2 linked regions of the Nothobranchius furzeri genome follow. The protein of the gene in region 1 interacts with the protein of each later gene in a pairwise test. Links are inferred from orthologs where the notes say so. Each region holds a gene or a part of one and is shown on either strand. Other genes may lie near its edges.

Evidence for each region.
Region 2: the proteins of wdr4 (region 1) and rabggtb interact in binary tests that used the Homo sapiens proteins (3 or more experiments, as listed by UniProt). The two-hybrid records come from large-scale screens. The link is inferred for Nothobranchius furzeri from reciprocal best matches to the Homo sapiens genes WDR4 and RABGGTB.

Annotation. Positions count from the first base shown.
Region 1 is NC_091754.1:38,325,386-38,331,294, forward strand, and holds the start of wdr4 (tRNA (guanine-N(7)-)-methyltransferase non-catalytic subunit wdr4), read right to left. Parts: upstream 3,597-5,909; 5' UTR 3,522-3,596; coding exon 3,439-3,521; intron 3,011-3,438; coding exon 2,942-3,010; intron 2,863-2,941; coding exon 2,716-2,862; intron 2,265-2,715; coding exon 2,108-2,264; intron 1,966-2,107; coding exon 1,853-1,965; intron 1,676-1,852; coding exon 1,615-1,675; intron 1,495-1,614; coding exon 1,396-1,494; intron 502-1,395; coding exon 437-501; intron 1-436. Other genes in the region: si:ch211-140m22.7 (protein bangles and beads), read left to right, coding at 4,085-4,129, 4,931-5,033. UniProt on the Homo sapiens protein: Non-catalytic component of the METTL1-WDR4 methyltransferase complex required for the formation of N(7)-methylguanine in a subset of RNA species, such as tRNAs, mRNAs and microRNAs (miRNAs).
Region 2 is NC_091751.1:41,398,601-41,404,689, reverse strand, and holds rabggtb (geranylgeranyl transferase type-2 subunit beta), read right to left. Parts: upstream 4,098-6,089; 5' UTR 3,977-4,097; coding exon 3,974-3,976; intron 3,761-3,973; coding exon 3,653-3,760; intron 3,119-3,652; coding exon 2,921-3,118; intron 2,787-2,920; coding exon 2,681-2,786; intron 2,480-2,680; coding exon 2,427-2,479; intron 2,238-2,426; coding exon 2,127-2,237; intron 2,015-2,126; coding exon 1,889-2,014; intron 1,784-1,888; coding exon 1,634-1,783; intron 1,561-1,633; coding exon 1,420-1,560; 3' UTR 812-1,419; downstream 1-811. Other genes in the region: acadm (medium-chain specific acyl-CoA dehydrogenase, mitochondrial), read right to left, coding at 6,026-6,089. UniProt on the Homo sapiens protein: Catalyzes the transfer of a geranylgeranyl moiety from geranylgeranyl diphosphate to both cysteines of Rab proteins with the C-terminal sequence -XXCC, -XCXC and -CCXX, such as RAB1A, RAB3A, RAB5A and RAB7A.

The DNA.
Region 1 (5,909 bases):
ATGCAGTAAAATAAAAATATATTTATTCATTCATTATTTCACAAACACAGAGAGCCGCATCAGATGGGTGGAAGAGGCGTGCGGTTGCCGCCCCCTGGGCTAGCAAAAACTCTCAAAAGGAGGAGTGTTACGCAGCTTTGGCTGCATGCCAGACCGACAGCTACACAGAGGGCGGGGCTTAGGCTGAGCTCTGAACAACACTGTTAGGTGCAGAGTGCAGGGAACTGATCGCTCGTAGCCCATTCAATATGGGCTTTTTTATTTTCTGCGTGAGAAATCTCATGTGTGGCGTGAGTGCGTGTAAAACAGGAAAATGCGCGAGTCTCACGCTTATTGCATGAGGCTTGAGAGCTCTGGGTAAAGGGTACATGTGCTAGCATAGAACTAAGTAGATATATTAGCATAGCAGCAGGGAGAACTGAGTCAGGATACTCACCCTTCACAGAGTACAGCTACATGACATCCATCAGAGGAGCTGATGATCCGCACTACAGCAGTGTTCTGGAACACAAACCAGTCATGGTAACAACGTATCGACCCTTTCCGGCTCATAAGCACAGAACTTGGATCAGGTTGGGGTCTAGAAACACTCGGCAGAAACAAGACAGAGTGGAGTGAGTTCATACTGTTTAGATTCAGCAGAAACACCAGCAGTTAATCAGAATCTGAAGGTTTTATTGCCATATGTGCGAGAATCACAACATTAGGAAATTGCTGTGGTGCTTGGTGCAAAAAAGGAAGATAAAAATAAGAGACGTGTTCTAGTTTACCCGTTTAATTATAGATTCACTAGGATGAATACAATAAAGTTTATCTCTCACCAAATAGAATATTTACTATGTTGTGTGTGTGTGTGTGCTCTGTCTTCTCCATCCCCAGTGAGTCGTGGTGGATGGCTGCTTATACTGAGCCAGGATCCTCTGGAGGTTCCTTCCTGTTAAAAGGGAGTTTTCCTCTCCACTGTCGCTGCATGCTTGCTTAGTATGAGGATTGCTGTAAAGACTCTGACACTAGTCAGTGACTCGATGCAACCTGCTGGGTTCCTTATATAGGAAACTTTTTACTGATTGGCTTAATGACCTGACCTGTATTGGTTTGTTTACTGTGTGAAGGTCCTTGAGATGACGCTTGTAGTGATTTGGCGCTTTATAAATAAACTTGAATTGAATCGAGATAAGAAAAATAATATTATGTGATAACAGCTGATAAACTAACTCTGTTTAGCGTGTGATCCAACATTTTACAGGGAAAGCTTGCTGATCATTGAGCAGGTGGGTGAGAGAAGGATACTTTCTAAATGTTTATTTTAACCGTTACTTTGTCAGGTAAAATGTTCGAGGACATGTTCTCTTTTACATTTGTCTCATGAGGACAGTGTTGGACACGGAGCTGCACCTTATCTGGATCAGAACTCTGGCTCTCGTCCAACTGTGACAGGTCCCAGCTCTGCAGCAGACGGCCCGACTCAAACTCCCACAGTTTCATCGTCCCGTCCTGATGAACACACACACACACTTCATAGGCTCTAGATGCCTGAAGCAACAGGTCATACTTACACACAGCTTGTCATGTGAATGACTCTTGACTTTATAACTTAGGGAGATGCTGACCTACCCCTGATCCAGACAGCAGCCAGTGAGGGTGGCTGGGTGGGATGTGCAGGGTACTGACAAACCTGAGAGACAGGATGGGACAACCTCATCAGGTCAGAGAGGTTTTACAGCATCTTCACATTACTTTCAGTTAACAAAAACAACAGCTCGTTAAGAGGAGAAACCTTTGAACAAGGAAATAAAAACAGCTGTTGCACTGAAGTGTATCAATGACTTGTGTGTTTATACCAGACACTCACTGGCGATGTCCCAGGCAGAAGGACTGGATGTTGTACGGAGACCTGCGATGGCTGACTCTGATCTTCTCATCTCGATCAGCTGTGATGATAAACTTGTCATCTGGTGAAACGACCTAAAATCAAGCAGGGAAAACCTGTGATGAATCTGAGAGAAACTAACACTGATACTCAAAGTCTACGTTTAATAGAAGAATAAAAGAAAACATGTTTGTTGATCAGCTGTAACAATCAAAACATCAGCTCACTGATCCTCACCATAGAGAGCAACATGGAGAGGTGTCCCATCTTCAGCTCGCCCTCTGCCTGTGGCTCCACCACTGAGAACGAGTACACGTCTCCTGATTTATCAGCCACCAGCAGCTCGTCTTCAGCCTGACTGAACACCAGAGACACGCACCTCCTGACCACCCACCTGTTCAACAACAGCATGCATGCACGCACACACAGTCTGATTTATAAAGCAAGAATTGTGCGCAGCTGTGTGTAAGCAGTGTTAATACAAAAGTTTTTTTTTTGCTGAGCTTTCAGTAAGGACCCTACTCTAGGTTTTCTAAATGAGGCCCTGGTCTCTAGTGCGGTGCTTCACCAACAGCTTCAGATGATACACACACATCTGAGTGATCAGTGGCTGATGTGTGAGTGAGCTCTGACCAGTTGGATCTTTAGACAAATCACATTAAATGAAGATAAATCGAGTTAGCAAACAGATGTTTGGGTCTTTAGGGCATTATTTGTATAACTTTGGTTGAAGTTACTGTAAGAAGGTTTTGTTTTTGTTGTGTTTCTCTATTGAGAGCTCTTTCTGGTGGCTGCAGTGTGTTTTGGGTCCAAGTTTGGCTGGTGTAAAGCTGTCCGAGCTGTACCTGGTACTGATGCAGCGCCATGAGGGCTCACACTCAAACAGAACCAGTCTTTTGGTGTCATCAGTTAACGCCACCAGTTTTCCTGATGAAGACACTGCAATGGCGAGGACTTCATCACTTCCTGTTTCCTCTGTGGAGCCGTTGTTACTGATGACAGAGATAACAGTTGTAAAACGATTAGGGTGTTTTCGTGGATGCTCATTCCCTCCATGACCATCATTTTCACCTGTTTCCGTCATCCTTCAGATTTTTGGGGGGTTTCTCAGCATCGCTACAATCAAACACAAATGGTTCCCTGCAACAGAAATGTGGAGAACACGTGAAATAGCATAGCTTAGTGTTTAATAAGCACCAGTAGGAAACCAGCAGAGACGCTAGATGAGAGGACAACAGTCCACTTGCAACTGGGAACCTTGGAGAAGTGCCATGAAAGCACTACACGCGAACCAGTCCACCTGAACAGCTGTTTCCTGATCTACTACAAATAAAGGAGACTATATAATAAGGTTTTAAACGCACAATCGCGACGTTTTCACTAAAACAAAGAGTGTTCAGTCACGATGGGACTGCGCCGCTTCTCTATGAACACAACACTACAAAAACAGAAGAAACCTCCCCTCCAGTCCCTGTCAGCTGTTTGTTTACAGCTAACACCTAGCTAACAGCTAGCAAACACGTCTGGGTCACCGGGCAGAAACCCTAACAACACGAAGCAGTTCGAACCTGCTCTCTTTAGTGTGAACCGCTACGAGCTTCTTGTTGCAGCTTAAAAGAAACCAGTCTCGACAAAACCTCACAGAAGTCATTATCGCGACAGGAGGAGTCCACGCGGAGAGAGTAAAAGCTTGTTTGGTCGCGCGTTTATGACGTCGGACGCTATTATGGAACAGTCACGCCCCCGGCCCAAACACATCGGTCAGTCAGAACCAGAACTGAATGTTCTTCAACAATGTGAATTGATTTTGTTCATGAAAAATACTTTTAGTTTTAAAAAAACTCTGGTCTTCGTGAACAGAAAACATGTACAACAGAATCTAAAGTAAAAAACTATAATATATAAAAAATAAAAGGATATATGAGGGGGGCGCGCGCGGGTGTGTGTTGGGGGCGTGACCGAGGCGTGTTACGTAAACGGCCCAACCAGTTCTGCTCTGTTTAGTGCCCCTGCATCACCAGCAGCTGATCCAACAGGATCCAGAACCCTTTGCTCTCACCAGGACACCCTCTCCTCTCCCCACCAACAAAGTGTTGCTCAGCTGCCTTGCTCTTCAGAACCGTGTAAGATTCTTCTTATATGCACTGCTGCAGATGTTCTGCTGTGTTGATTTATGTGGGTTTATTTTGATGTGTAGACTGGCTGCACAGCAGAATGGCGACCTCCCTGCTGAGGATGGGACGCTTGAGCCATGCTAAGGTAAAATATACCACTGCTGCATGCTGTGATTTTGGAACATCTTGTCTTTTGCTTTGACGCCCTAGCCTTCAGGATGAATCTATGGCTTCTGACAGTGAATGTTCATGACATGACATGTCAGGGGAAAGGAAAGCACATCATTGTTTGAGCTGCACGCCTGATGGAGCAGATTTAAACCAGACACGTAGGCCTCCAGCACTCACTGTGATGGAATTTGATTTTCTAGGTGTGTGTAGCTAGACTTTACTTCTGTACATAGCTCAGTTTTATGAAGCTGATCCCAGTTCACATCTTCTGGGAAAGACTGCATTTCCTATTTTTCCAATTTTTCCCATGACAGACAGTCTCACTCTGCAAAATCAGACATGACTAATCCATGCAGAGAAGACAAACATTAGGTATAAGCAAGATGCACAAAATACACTCAGTCTGACTTATTTCTGTTGCACAGCTTTGAAAATGAAACACAAGCTGTCTGTTCCTGCTCTGGTGAAGCCGGGAACAGCTGATGGAATGTGTTTCCTGAACACTAATAATTTGGGTCAGCTGCTAAAACAACAAACCTTGTTTGTTTTGTCTTTCTGGTGAGATGTCAGAACATTTTAGCATCAGCTTAGCTGGTTTTAGTAGATCAACTATAATGAGGCAAATGCAAAATCAGCTGATCGAATTAGGAAACCAATTAACTGGTCTGGTTCTACTTGATAAAGCTAACAGGTGTACAGGTGAGGATGATTATACCGGTTAGACTCACCTGTTTACTTGTATGGCGTGTGTGTGCGCGCATGTGTGTGTTGTCAGTGTTTACAGGCCGAGAGCTGGATGACTCTGAGCAGAATGCCTCCAGCTGCAGCTTTGAGCTCAAAATCTGGACCGAAGAAGCCAGTCAGTACAGCCAACCCAGGTACGCCTGTGTGCCGATGCTGCTGTGTTGGGATGTTTAGCCTTTATCAAACTTGAACTGTGGTACAGCTCTGTTCCAGTGACATGCCTACATCTCCCAGGATGGATTAGATCAGTGCTCTTCAACCCTGGTCTCAGAGAGCCGCTATCTAGCTTGTTTTAGTGGTTTCTCTGCTCCTACACTCTGATTTGAGGTGATTAACAGGTTTCTGCAGTGCCGGATGGGCTGCTAAACAGGTGTGTTGGAGCAGGAAACATGTTGGGTAGGGGGATCTCAAGGACCTGGATTGGAGAGTACTGAGACATTCCTGATAAAGAACATTAGGGATCTGTATTGGTGAAACTCTGGCGATACAATATGTCACGTTGTATTGCGATACATTCAGCCAGACGATATTAGTGACTCTTTTAGGAAAATTTAATAAACAGTCCAAACTGATACGTAATGCATTTAACCCTTAAATTCCTAGGTTTCTCTCTGAGAAAGGTAAATCACCTACAGATGAACCTTAACCTCACCTTAACCTGCTGTATGCTAGAAGAAGAAGAAACAATCTTTTCTTTAGCGCCTCTCAAGATGAGGCGCTAACGAAAAACAAAAAATTTGAAATATAAAAAAGAATTTAGAAAAAAAAGAGAGAGAGAGAGAGAGAGAGAGAGAGAGAGAGAGAGAGAGAGAGAGAGAGAGAGAGAGAGAGAGAGAGAGAGAGAGAGAGAGAGAGAGAGAGAGAGAGAGAGAGAGAGAGAGAGAGAGAGAGAGAGAGAGAGAGAGAGAGAGAGAGAGAGAGAGAGAGAGAGAGAGAGAGAGAGAGAGAGATGAGTTTTCAGCTGCTTTTTAAAGGAGACCACTGAGTCCCCTGATCCCAGGCTCAGGGGG
Region 2 (6,089 bases), on another chromosome or scaffold:
ACAGTTTAATAACGGAGGTATCAAAGTAGTTTAAAGAACATTTATAACTGAAAAGCTTTTATGTACATTATGTTTTAAGAGCAAGTCACCCCCAAATCAACTTTTTTTTTCGAATAAACTATATAAATGCGTGTCTAATTGTGCTGCAGACACGTGTAGTCAATAGTTTAACACTTTAGTGCATTTCTTGTTAAAATTTTAATTTTCTGCCTAAAACTGTCAGGTAAAAACTCTGCACTGCATTTGAATTTAAATCTGCCATCGCTATTGGCTAAGAGGTACCCTGTATTTGTTAGCGGCTCCGCCCTCTCGGTCTGCTGGGCAACAGCATTTGTTGCATTTTTCAAACAGGAAGTGGGAGTTGAGTACGAATCTGGTAGGGGGTGACTTGCTCTTTAAGCTTTAGATTACAAACCCATCAATGCTTGTTTAAAAGCTTCTAGATGAACATATTTGATCATTTTTACTATTAACGAGCCAAACACCGCTTCATAAAATACCTGTACCTAAGAAAAAGTTCAACATCCAAACTGATTAGTTTTTTATTTGTGTAAAACAGAAACTTCTGCAATCAAACTTATTATAGTAAAGTTGAATATCTTAAAACTGTGATTTTTAACGCTGAATACAAATATGAGAACGTTACTGAGTGTCTGCAGTAAAATAGTGAAAAACATAACATAAACAAGTTTCCTATTGATGTGAAGCTCATTTCTAAACCGATCTCAAGTTGTCTTAGTGAACATAAGTTATCAGATCTGTAACTGGAACAATGTTTGGCTTCTAAATCAGAAAAAAAAAACACTAGAAATTTGAACACTGGTGTGATTTATTTACTCTGTACCAACGGACACGGATCAGTTCACAACAACAAAACAAACGTTTGACAATAAGACAATAAAAGTGAAGAATTTACGACTCAAATGTTTAACAGAAATTTCCCAGAATCCTTAGAGAGCTGTGAATAGGTTTAATAAATAGTGAATAAAGCTGTAAACGTAGAATATTGTTTAGTTAGGTTTCCCAGAAAGCCTGTCTGCTGCAAACACCGTTAGTGTCCTCCACATCGCTCTTGCTGCTCATAAAAACGCCTTTTATGATTAAAAAGCAGCTACGTAACTGCTAAGAGTTTAAGGTGCCAAAAACACTTTTTCCTCCCGGCTGAATCCAAAGTTCCACATAAACAATAATATTAATTCTTAGCTGCAGCTGATGGAAGTGATGCATTTAAGTGTAAGGAATGTGTTTTTAAATTATGTTTAAACTTCAACAGCTGAAACACGATACGCTGGATAGAAACGTGAGCAGAGGAAGGATTAAGGCCGAAGAGTGAAACAGAGATGAGTCCGGATCCACTTCCTGCTTCCAGCTGAGGGGAGTTTATGTGAGGGTAGCGGTGTTTGTGAGGATGATGATGGGCTAGCTGAGGAGGTCGGGCTGCAGGTGGACCCTCTGCAGGACGTCCTCCGGCATGCACAGAACCGGATTTACTGCCTTGATCTGCTCGTCGCCGAGGAGAGAGAGACCGGCGATCCCGAACAGAGTGTGGAAAGGATCCACCTGCAGAGGAGAGACCAGAACATTCAGAACACTGGAGGAAAATCTGAGCTCTGCTTTTCAGAACACGTCTCACCACGTCTCCTGGTCGGTCTGCAAAACCTCCCGTCTCCTCGTCCTGACAGGCCAGAATAAACCGCCGCAGCTTGGCTTTGTCGATCCAGTGGATCCGGCCGATGATCTTCAGCGATGCCAGAACCCACCACGAGTAGCAAACATCTGGGAGCTGCGTCAGATGGAGGTTTGATTAAAGACAAGTCTTAAAAAAAGGGTTTCTTTGGTCATTTTTCCAAACAAATCTAAAACCAAACATCATCAGGAGGTGGCAGACCTTCTCTGGTCTCCCGTTGAGGCCTCCAGATGGCAGCTGCCTCTCACAGAGCCACCAGCCCAACAGGTCGGCGTTCAGCTGGTGCAGCTGGCCAGTGAGCGACAGGAAACCAGTGCAGCAGTAAATCTTATGAAAGCGTAAAAAAGCAACAGGGGGTTTAATGTCAGAAGATTTTTCATTCTATTATAAATTGAACCTTTAGGTTTTTTTACATTGTTGTTTGGGGACAAAAACTCACCTGACCAGCGTGAGACTCTGAACCAGGTCTGCAGCCAAAACCTCCATCAAAATTCATACAGGACAGGACGAACTCAACCGCCTTGTCTACGTTTATCGAGTCCATTTTCCCCTGGGAAAGGACAGATGAAGACTAGAAAGTAATCTTCAGAGGTATGGTTAATCTGACTAAATAACAAACTCACGACCTCCTTTAAAAAGTTCACAGACATCAGGAAAAAAGATGCAACTGAGTGAGTTTTATCACAGAACTGTTGGTTCAGCCTGCATTACGGTTATTTTCAGACAAACCCGTACGTACCAGTAACGCTAGCGTAGCAACCGCACAGAAAGAAAAGCGTGTGTCTATTTCTCCTGAAAAGAACGAAAACTTCAGTTACGATAAAGATCTTTAAATAATCTTATAGTTAAAGCTTGTGCACAATTCCAGATGCAGCTCCTTATTCTCAGACATCTAAGAGTTTGTTGTGCAGGTTTCTCTAAAGAGCTGCTTTGCTTTGTGAAAATGACTTTTTATTTTTACTCTAAATGAAAGAGAGAGTAAAGCTCGCTCACCCCATTTGTCCCCTGCAAAAGAGCCATCCTCCTGCTGAAGCCCTTTCACATATTCCACCACTTTGTCAACATCGATCGCATCCAGGCTGTCATACAAGCACAAGATCTGAGAAAGACGTGTAAAAATAAAAAGATGTCAACTAAAAACCTTAAAGAAAAACACATGTGATCGTTTAGCTCATCTGAGTTTTCCTCACATCCTTAGCATTTGTGATTTATTATAATGAGGCTTTGTGTCACCTGGATGGCGCTGAGGGTGTACAGCAGGTGTGGGTCATGTCCAATACTGGCGCTGACGCCTCCACACTCGTGTTGGCAGGCTTTGATGAAGTCTATGATCTCCTGACGGCTCATCCTGGGCAGCTGACCCATCAGATCCATCACCGTCAGCCCCCAGTAGATACCGCTCATCCTCAGGTACTCTGACAGTGTGTACTCCTGCAGCACAGAGGTGTCAGATTTCATTAACACCAAAGACCAGGTACAGTTTGATTTTGGGTTTAAAACATTATTTAATTCCTGTTGCAAAAACCCGTTAAACCAAAGTAAAATTTCTTATTTGTGCACACAATCTTAACCAGTGAATCAGATGATCAGGCTGCTGTAGTTGCTGAGAGTTGTGGAGGGCAGTTCAAAATTTTGCCTTCTTGGCAATCTGTTTTGGGTCCAGGGGAGATCCCCACTGATGTGGGTGCTCATGAGACGTGAGGGCCGTCTCTTTAGTCTTATAATTATTTTTTAAAATGTACATCTTTGGTTTCTTTAAAGCATTTTCTGTCTTTTTTAATATACTTTGTGGAAAATTGGGACAAAAAACTTACCTTTTAAAACACCTGAATGCATCTTTTATCTTAACCCAAAATAAATAAATAAAACGTTTAAAACTTCTGAAACGAGGTTTTATCGACAGAGGCAGATAAAAACGAGACGACACAAATCCTACAAACTAAGTGTAAATAAAACGTCACTCACATAGTCGTCCTTCTTGGACCCGTAGGCAGCGATGTAATCTGCATGTTTGTCCAGCAGCAGCCAGCTGGGAGCGTCAGGTTTAATGATGACATCTTTTAGTTGAGCACTCTGACAAAAACACAACAGAAACGGTCACAAGACACAACTACGCTGTAGTTAAACGAATACAGGAGGACACATTGTTATGACTAGCTGCTAAATGCTAACAAGGGTAGCATCCACTTCGGCACAGCATTTAAATAAAGAAGACAAGATAACATTTACACACACTTTAATTATAAAACGATGCTCTAAAGCACAGAAGAACAAGTGACGGATTACCATTCTGACATATTTTGCATGGTCAAGCTACTTCCGGCCTTCTTCTTCTACGGTTTTAAATGTCGTATAGTTTCAGACTTTACCGCCACCTTCTGGTTTGATTGAAGTATTACAAGAACAAAATATCAATTTGAGTTATTTATTGTGCGGTTTTGAAATCAAAAATACTAAGTGTTTTGTATTTGTACTTTTAGTGATAGTATAGTAAAAATATGTAACTATTCTAGGGAAAAAACTGGAAAAGTTACTTTTACTTTACTTTTACTTTGCCCATCAGCCAAGGCCAACATTAGAAACCTAGGAGTTATTTTTGATCCAGCTTTAAGTTTAGACTCACGTCAAAACCATCTCCCGCTCTTGTTTCTTTCAACTGAGAAACATTTCAAAAGTCCGTAAACTGGTTTCTACTGCAGATCTGGAAAAAATCATCCATGCCTTTGTGTCATCACGCTTAGACTACTGTAACGCTCTTTTTACTGGTCTCAGCAAAACCTCCCTCTCACGCCTTCAAGCCATCCAAAATGCAGCAGCTGGACTCCTAACCAAATCCAGCAGACGAGCTCACATCACTCCAGTTTTACAGTCCCTCCACTGGCTCCCGGTAGAATATAGAATACAGTTTAAAGTTTTAGTCCTCCTGACCTATAGAGCTCTTAACAACCAGGCTCCAAGCTACCTATCTGAGCTTTTATCCCCACACATCACCTCTCGGAACTTAGATCCACATCTGAAAACCTCCTGGCTGTTCCTCGAACCAGACTGTAAACCAAAGGGGACAGGGCCTTTCAGACTATTGGCCCCAGACTTTGGAACAGTCTACCTTCAAATCTCCGTCTCTCTAACACTGTAGAGGTCTTTAAAAATCATCTAAAAACTCACCTTTTCATCCAGGCGTTACCTCCCTAAATGTTTCAAAAAGATGGTTTTGTTCGAGTTCACACCTTCCCTTTGTTTATACTCATGATTTTATTTTCTACGTTTATCACTGCTATTGTTTTTCAGATGTTTTTATTGGTTAGAGGTATTTGCTCTGATCTTTATCATGTTGTGATTTATATCTGTGAAAGGCGCTATATAAATAAACTTTTACTTATTCATCAAAAAGCTTCCTTTAAATTATACCATTAGCTATCATATTTAAAACACCTATTCTTCAGGAAATACATCAGTAAAGTTTTAACAGAAACTAGATTTAAAAACGGCTACAAATACGTAAAAATGTAACATGACTAACATTTAAAGCGTTAAATGTTTGTTTACAATCAGTACATATAATGGTGATCAGTTTTTTTTTTTCATTAATACATTTAGGATTTCCTTTGTTCACTCATCCAAAAGAATGACCGACATCCATAAAACCAAACCATATAATCCAGAATGAATTTATTAAGTGGACGGCTCAGAAAAATCATACAGCATTACATCCAACATTAGTGAGCAAGTGTGCAGAAGTTTACCATAATGTTGATAATGTCTGCTGAGTGGAACTGGCTGACAGCATGCAGAATTACTTCCACACATTCTAGTGTTAAATGAATTTATACAACTTTACACATTTGACCAGAGTCAGTTGTGTGTTTAAGGCATGACTACAGGCATGAAGACAAGTTAACAAAAATCACAAAGGTGTGAGCCAAGTCTGAACTTTGACCTTCAACCGGATTTTCATTAAAAAAAACATCTTTATCAACAAAACACTCGTGAACGAGAATAACTGCAACAGTTTTAGTTCAGAAACAGATTTCCTTCTAAACACATTTATTTGTATCCTGCTGATGATCATTTCCAACCTGAACAGACTCTCTTTCCTTCACATTCAAAAGATGTTTTTGTACAAAATGTGCTAAACTGGAAACAACACGATTATTTATGTCTTAAAAATGTTTCCTTTTCGTGGTCTGAACTTGTTTGATACTGCAGAGCAGAATGAATCCGTTTTAAGGCAAACAACATCTAGAGCTGCATCCTGAGGCCAGATTAGTTTGACAGGAGCTTATTTATATCCAAAGTACAATATTTAAATGCAGAAGAAGAAAAGTCAAACAGCTGATTTCATTTCTGGAATCTTCCTAGGTGTTCTCTGGCAATGATGAGCCTTTGGATTTGAGCTGTGCCT